Linked DNA regions of Tribolium castaneum. Each later gene encodes a partner of the first gene's protein in a complex. Links are inferred from orthologs where the notes say so. Each region holds a gene or a part of one and is shown in the gene's direction. Other genes may lie near its edges.

Evidence for each region.
Region 2: eIF3c (region 1) and eIF3h share a complex: the UniProt entries of both Drosophila melanogaster proteins name them as parts of the eukaryotic translation initiation factor 3 (eIF-3) complex. The link is inferred for Tribolium castaneum from reciprocal best matches to the Drosophila melanogaster genes eIF3c and eIF3h.

What each region holds. Positions count from the first base shown.
Region 1 is NC_087401.1:16,334,177-16,338,754, reverse strand, and holds the start of eIF3c (eukaryotic translation initiation factor 3 subunit C), read left to right. Parts: upstream 1-1,670; 5' UTR 1,671-1,802; intron 1,803-2,049; exon of another isoform or gene 2,050-2,052; 5' UTR 2,053-2,057; coding exon 2,058-2,147; intron 2,148-2,197; coding exon 2,198-2,962; intron 2,963-4,578. Other genes in the region: beag (protein Red), read left to right, coding at 581-1,320. UniProt on the Drosophila melanogaster protein: Component of the eukaryotic translation initiation factor 3 (eIF-3) complex, which is involved in protein synthesis of a specialized repertoire of mRNAs and, together with other initiation factors, stimulates binding of mRNA and methionyl-tRNAi to the 40S ribosome.
Region 2 is NC_087398.1:6,460,886-6,464,419, reverse strand, and holds eIF3h (eukaryotic translation initiation factor 3 subunit H), read left to right. Parts: upstream 1-1,657; 5' UTR 1,658-1,807; coding exon 1,808-1,885; intron 1,886-1,981; coding exon 1,982-2,920; 3' UTR 2,921-2,963; downstream 2,964-3,534. Other genes in the region: vkg (collagen alpha-2(IV) chain), read left to right, coding at 1-220; SelT (thioredoxin reductase-like selenoprotein T homolog CG3887), read right to left, coding at 814-1,137, 1,184-1,313, 1,360-1,514. UniProt on the Drosophila melanogaster protein: Component of the eukaryotic translation initiation factor 3 (eIF-3) complex, which is involved in protein synthesis of a specialized repertoire of mRNAs and, together with other initiation factors, stimulates binding of mRNA and methionyl-tRNAi to the 40S ribosome.

The sequences.
Region 1 (4,578 bases):
GATTCTTTCCTAAAGAGGTCTTTAGATTTTAAATCAGCAAAATTTTCCTTTAAATTCTCCTTTCTCGCTTATAAAAATTCTTCTCTAGTTTCTTTTATAATATTTCTTATTTATTTTTTAGCATTGTTTTTGTACTTACCTTTAGATTTTTTTAAAAGATTTTTGTGATTCTTTCCTAAAGAGGTCTTTAGATTTTAAATCAGCAAAATTTTCCTTTAGATTCTCTTCTCTCGCTTATAAAAATTCTTGTCTAGTTTCTTTTAGAATTCTTCTTGTTCATTTTTTAGCATTGTTTTTTTACTGTCTTTTAGATTTTTTTAAAGATTTTTATGATTATCTCCTAAAGACTTCTTTAGATCTTAAATCCGCAATTTTTTTTATATTCTCCTCTCTCGCTTATAAAAATTCTTCTCTAGTTTCTTTTAGAATTGCTCTTATTTATTTTCTAGCATTGTTTCTGTACTTCTTTTTGGATTTTTTAAAGGTTTTTGTGATTCTTTTTTAAAAATTTTTACATGAATTTTAATGTTAAAATTCCTATTAATTTAATACCAACATGACTATTAAAATTTTATTTCAGACGATGAGGCTGAATCAGACATTCCAACAACTTTAATCCGTTCAATCGCCGACGTTCCGTCATTTGAACTCACCACAACCCTCACAACCAACGACATTGTCATAAATAAATTAACCCAAATTTTAAGTTACTTGCGCCAAGGCAACCGAAAGAACAAAAAAACCAAACGGGGACTCCCCGAAAGTCGCGAAAACGAACAACCGGAAGAACCCGAACCGAAAAAAACAACAAAACGTACAACCGGTGATGACTCCATCTATGGAGATATTGGTGATTACGTACCCACAAGAAGTGGTAAACATGGAAACTCGTCACGTGACCATAACAAACACACGTACTTTGATAAACAAGAGGAAGCGCTTGAAAATAGCGGACCGACTTTCAAAGTCAGTAAATCGGCACAAATCCTTAATAAACTGGCTCAAGAGCCTGAGGGATATGCTGAGTGTTATCCCGGATTGGAGGAAATGAACGATGCGATTGATGATTCTGATGATGAGGTTGATTATTCTAAGATGGACTTGGGGAATAAAAAGGGGCCGATTGGACGCTGGGACTTTGACACAGCTGAGGAGTATTCCGATTATATGAACCAGAAGGAGGCTTTGCCGAAAGCAGCCTTCCAGTACGGCCTTAAAATGGCAGATGGGCGCAGGTCCAGGAAGCATAAGGATAAGAACGAAAAGGCGCATTTGGACAGGGAGTGGCAAAAAATCCAAAGCATTATCAAGAAGAAATAATTTTGTTGTGTATTTAGGAGATAAATAAGTTAATTTAAATAAAAAATATATATTGGAAATTTGATTTTCTACAACTTTGTTCCTTACTTTTTTGTCTTACTATCGAGAGTTTAATGCTCTATGTGCCTGTATTTTTTCTTTGCTATCTGCTAATGGAACAAGTGCGCTCTCTGGTGACAATAAAGGAACTACCGAAAACGCGAGCGTTTCATTTGTACGTCTTTGGTATCTTAACCGTAGAATCCTTACTTTTGACACAACTTGAACCTAAATACCACCACCTAACCCTGGCTCTCGACTTAAGGGCCCTTTCGTGCCCAAAAACAAATTAATTTGCCCTTTTTTTACGATATTACCATAACACTACCAATCACAAGACAAAAAAGTCCCGATTTTGACAGTTGGCACAAGTTTTTGGCCATTTTGTGGTTACAATCGTGTCGGAAAATCTGTTAAGTGAAAAAAAGGCTTTAAACACGTAAGTTTTGCCTCTTTCACGTGTATTTTACCTTAAAATTGTGGTTCCGACATTTCTAACTATAATTTTGGGGAGTTCCGTCTCCAAACATGAACCACATGGGCCCCAGTAACTAGCTTTAAAGTAGTCTTAAATTAAGTTTTCGGTCTTCATTTGGCCCAAAGAAGCGAAAAACCGTTACCTAACGCCAATTTAACGCCTAGTTATTGCGTTATTTCACGTAATTTTTTTGAGGTTATGTCACTTTGTAGGTAAAAAAATGAGTCGTTTTTTCGCCGGTTCGGACTCAGACTCCGACAGCTCCTCCGAGGAAGAGCCAATTCAGCGCGCGCCAGCGCCCGTTTTCACCGTAAGTGAGCCCCCATGTAGCTTAACATTTTTTTAATGGCCCCCTTCTAGTTTAGCGACGATGAAGAGGAGGTCAAACGTGTGGTTCGCTCCGCCAAAGAGAAGCGTTACGAGGAACTCACTAACATTATCAAACAAATCCGCAATTACAAAAAAATCAAAGACATGAGCAGCATGTTGACCAGTTTTGAAGACCTTCAGAAGGCCTACGTTAAAGCGCTCCCAGTGATCGCGAAAGAAGAATCGGGGCAAACGCCCCGTTTCTTCACCCGTTGTTTGGTCGAAATGGAAGATTTCATCAACGAAATGTGGGAAGATCGCGACGGACGCAAAAACATGAGCAAAAACAACAGCAAGTCTTTGGCTTCAATGCGCCAGAAGTTGCGCAAGTACATCAAAGATTTCGAGGAGGATATTGCCAAGTTTAGGGAAAACCCCGACCAGCCGGACGATGAAGAAGAGGAAGAGAAACACGAGCCTGAGCCAGACACTCAAACTGAAGCGCCGGCCAAAGCTGTGGCTAAAATTTCCAAACAGATTGTTGATGATGAAGGGTCGTCTGATTCGGACGATTGGCCTAGTGATAGTGACTCGAGTTCGGATAGTTTTGATGAAGATGAAGGGAAAGGGACTATGAGGGAGCGGTTTTTGAAGAAAACTGGGCCGGCGCATGAAGATGATGAAGAACGCGATCGGAGGAAGGAGGAAAGGAGGAAGGAACGTAAGGAGAAGGAGAGGCGGAAGGTGAAGAAGGAGGATGAGGAGGATGGGGAAGGGGAGTGGGAGTTTGTGAAGGGGGGAATCGCAATTCCGAGCGTAAGTATCAGTACTTTAAATGTTTTTCTATTAAAAAAAATGAGGAATGACCTCTTTTCTTTTGTTATTCGGCTGTCTTGATTAGATAACACAGTACAATGAACTTTTTTTTTATAAAAAAGCTTAATAAGACCTTCTTCTATGACATATTAAAAATTTGGAAAGATATTATTTATGATTTTCTTGTTAGAGTCTGTCAAAAATAAACATTCTTGAAAAAATCAATAAAACAAAGTAAAAAATTCCGCTGTCTTGATTGGATAACACAGAGCAATGAACTTCTTTTTTATAAAACAGCTTCAGAAGACCTTCCTCTATAACATATTAAAAATCTGGAAAGATATTATTTTTGGTTTTCTTGTTAGAGTCTGTCGAAAATAAACATTCTTGAAAAAATCAAATAAAACACAAAGTTAAAAATCCCGCTGTCTTGATTGGATAACATAAAGCAATGAACTTCTTTTTTATAAAACAACTTCAGAAGACCTTTTTCTATAACATATTAAAAATCTGGAAAGATATTATGAACAATGAACTTCTTTTTTATAAAACTTTTTTATAAAACAGTTTCAGAAAACCTTCTTTTATAACATATTAAAAATTTGGAAAGATATTATTTTTAGTTTTCTTGTGAGAGTCTTCCAAAAATAACCATTCTTGAAAAATTCAAATAAAACACAAAGTTAAAAATCCCGCTGTCTTGATTGGATAACATAAAGCAATGAACTTCTTTTTTATAAAACAACTTCAGAAGACCTTCTTCTATAACATATTAAAAATATGGAAAGATATTATTTTTGGTTTTCTTGTGAGAGTCTTCCAAAAATAACCATTCTTGAAAAATTCAAATAAAACACCAAGTTAAAAATTCCGCTGTCTTGATTGGATAACATAGAGCAATGAACATCTTTTTTATTAAACAACTTCAGAAGACCTTTTTCTATAACATATTAAAAATCTGGAAAGATATTATTTTTGGTTTTCTTGTTAGAGTCTGCCAAAAATAACCATTCTTGAAAAATTCTAATAAAACACAAAGTTAAAAATTCCGCTGTGTTGATTGGATAACATAGAGCAGTGAACTTCTTTTTTATAAAACAGCTTCAGAAGACCTTCTTCTATAACATATAAAAAATTTGGAAAGATATTATTTTTGGTTTTCTTGTTAGAGTCTGTCAAAAATAACCATTCTTGAAAAATTCAAATAAAACACCAAGTTAAAAATTCCGCTGTCTTGATTGGATAACATCGAGCAATGAACTTCTTTTTTATAAAACAGCTTCAGAAGATCTTCCTCTATAACATATTAAATATTTGGAAAGATATTATTTTTGGTTTTCTTGTGAGAGTCTGTCAAAAATAACCATTCTTGAAAAATTCAAATAAAACTCAAAGTTAAAAATTCCGCTGTCTTGATTGGATAACATCGAGCAATGAACTTCTTTTTTGTAAAACAGCTTCAGAAGACCTTCTTCTCTAACATATTAAAAATTTGAAAAGATATTATTTTTGGTTTTCTTGTTAGAGTCTGTCAAAAATAACCATTCTTGAAAAATTCAAATAAAACACCAAGTTAAAAATTCCGCTGTCTTGATTGGATAACACAGAACAATGAA
Region 2 (3,534 bases), on another chromosome or scaffold:
CTATTTGACCTCAAGAGTCAGCAGATGCGCCGTTTGCATCCGCAGACGGTACACCAGTCGCACTGCAATTGTCACCCCTAGTCGAATCACAAGACCCACATACGGGACCCCGTATCGGCCCCCAGGCTATCCACCAGGAAGTTACAGGAACTTGGAAGAGAATAGGAGGAGGCGTTTGAGGCAGAGATTGAGACACAGGAGACCGCAAAATACGCCGTGATCGACGTGCCATAACAGTTATTAACTTTGTAATTATGTGTAAATTAATTGTAACATAGATTTGATGTTAACATTTGTCCTTGAGAAGGAACGTACGCCGTGTTCAAACACAAATCCTATTAGAATATTTTTTACTTGTAAGGATTTAGGTTCTTAATTTTATTTAAGCGATTACGACAGTGGCTCTTTGTATAGAATTTATTTTTTTAATACTTGAATTCTTGCTTGTTTTTGATCTTTTTTATCTCAAAGGTGCTAATTAGTTTTAAGGCTTACGACAGGAAAATGTGATTCATATTTTATGTGCCTTTCTATTAAACACTGCCAAATGATTTTGTAATGTAACAAATGAATAAATCATAAAAACGATGAGTTTTTGGGTTTTATTAGGTATCAAATAAGAAGACAATTTCTTTATGTACAACTTTTACTTATCACAAATCTAGTTATTTATAAATCATACATTCAAACATACTGAACGCTGTGTGATAGTGACCAGACAAAAAATTATAGAATGACACTACCAGACTCACAACAAATTTAAAAAAGAACAATCTGATAACAAAACAATCATTTTCGAAATTTATAGTAACTTTACTTCGGGAATCCGTTGCTCAGTTCAATTTTGCTGTCAGTGAACTGCATATGATTATCGATGATTTGGAAAAGCTCTGCAGGTTGTGGTATCCTGCCCGTCTCCAGTTTGGACCAAACAGGAACGTCATTCAGTGAGATTTCAAAAGCCCCCGATTGAATCAACTGTCCTTCGATAATATTACACACAAAGAACAGCATCATGCAAGCATAAAGCTTGTTTTCTGTGCACCAAATCCACCATGAAGGCTGTGGTTGGTTAATGTATTCAAATATGTTAATAGCCCCCAAAATACACACGATTATCACCATTTTAACGATGCCCTGAAAACGCATAATCATCAACTTTCACTCATTATATCATACTTACAATAAGTCTGGCCAAATACATGTTCAAGCCTGGGGGGTCGTAATTTTGGCCATCAACGGCTATAAAAGGGTATTTGTCCCCAACGATTTTTACGTACTGCTCGAACGTTTTCCGGTAACCACACGAATAACTAAATTAAATAATTAGATTATGATATTGGGGCTAGGGGAACATACCAATACAAAAATTTTAAGGTTGGGGCCCCAACATTTTGACTTAGCTTCGACGGGAGGACGTCTTCAGCTGCTACGTTACCGTTTGATTCGAGAAAACACAGCCCCGCAAACACCACTAAATACCAAAAACATGATATTTGTCTTAAACCAGCCATTTATTTTGCTTTCTAATGCTCTCGTCAGCTGATAAATTTCCAATGACAGGTGGGACTGGTGGAAACGTAGGGGAATTTAGACACCGACTAGATCAGCCTAAAACACTAATATAATAATTATTTCACGTCCAAAAAACACGAGATTGTGTTAGCTGCTACAAAATTTGGTAACAAACAACGTAATCGTTAAATAAGGCCATTATCGGCTGGCAATTTTTACGAAAATTGTGTTTTTGTAGCAATTGTGGAGTTTTTGTTTGCGCTACATTGGCAGGTATTTTTGGCAGTTTAAAATGGCGTCTCGTGGGGCTGCTTCGAGGCGTGTGCCTGAAAATGACTCGACGATTGCTTACGTGCAAGCCGACGGCTTGGTAAATATCCCTTCAGTTTATTTAAACCCAAAAGTCACACTTTGGCTACCTCAGTTAGTAATTAATACCTAACATACGGAACCTAACCTCTTTCAGGCCGTCATGAAGATCGTAAAACACTGCCATGAGGAATCGACCACTAACATGGACATAGCCCAGGGGGCCCTTCTCGGCCTTGTCGTTGAAAACCGGCTGGAAATCACGAATTGTTTCCCATTCCCGAAACAAACCGACGAGACAATGGACGAGGACGAGTACCAGCTAGCGATGATGCGGCGCCTGCGACGCGTCAACGTCGACCACTTCCATGTGGGGTGGTACCAAAGCGCCGACGTCGGGAACTTCCTCAGCCTCCCTCTTCTCGAATCGCAATTCCACTACCAAACCTCAATCGAGGAATCCGTCGTTGTGATTTACGACACTCAAAAATCCTCGCGCGGGTTCCTCACACTTAAAGCCTACCGTTTGACGCCTCAAGCCATTGAGATGTACAAGGAGGGCGAATTCACGCCCGAGGCCCTCTTGAAGCTCAAAGTCGGATACGAGAACCTCTTCATCGAGGTCCCCTTCGTTATTAAAAACTCCGCCTTGACCAACATCATGATGTCCGAATTGCAAGAACTTGTCCCGGAAGAAGAAGGCTCGAAATTTTTAGATTTGGGAACCGCCTCCGTCCTCGAGGGGCAATTGCGCTGCCTCATGGACCGAGTTGACGAACTCAACCAAGAAGCGATCAAGTTTAATAGATACCAACAGTTGGTCAGCCGGCAACAGCAAGACAAACACAGATATTTGCAAAAGAGGGCGCAGGAAAATGCGGCTAGGGCCGCGAAAGACGAGCCCCCATTGCCCGAAGAGGACATTAATAAGCTGTTTAGGCCACATCCGGTGCCCCCGAGGCTGAACCCGATGATTATCGCGGGACAGATTAATACGTATAGTCAGGCCATTTCCCAGTTGTGCTCGCAGAGTTTGGCTAAGTTGTATATTACGCAAGCGTTGCAGAACGCCAAGGAGGCGAATTCTAATCCTTGAACTGTTTTGTTACGTTGTTTTACAATAAAATAATATACAATGAGTTTGGGTTTTATTTAAACCAGGCGTAATAAAGCTTAATTGGCGCAGTCAGTAGGTTTTGTGGTGGCGTCTCTTCTGTGAAATTTCTACGTTTGAACGTTTAATCATCCCCTTAAAAAATGGTACTAAACCAACAGTGGAGAAAGTCATATTCGCAACCTTTTCATCGTTTATGTTGATTTTGTTGTTTTTTGATTGAAATAAAGGACACAGCTTTTAAAAAATAATGTATTCAATTGCCCTAAACATCAATTTAGTCATTACAGTCTTACGAACCTAAAGAAATGAATTTTATTTATTTACATTTCTATTGCACAAACTGGCCAAAATGTACACACTTTTTTGTGCAACTTTCTCAAACTCATACAAACCAATAACAAACAACACACGAAAAACAACAACAAAACAAGACTAGATAATCAATCACAATAAATCGTTTCGTATTACGCTATTAGCAGTTCAATCAATAAGAAAAATCGTGTCATGAGTATAAAAATGTTGATTAATTCATTTGAAAAAATTCCCCATTTTACATTGATAAAATAGCTTAACACTACGACTAGACTCTAGGT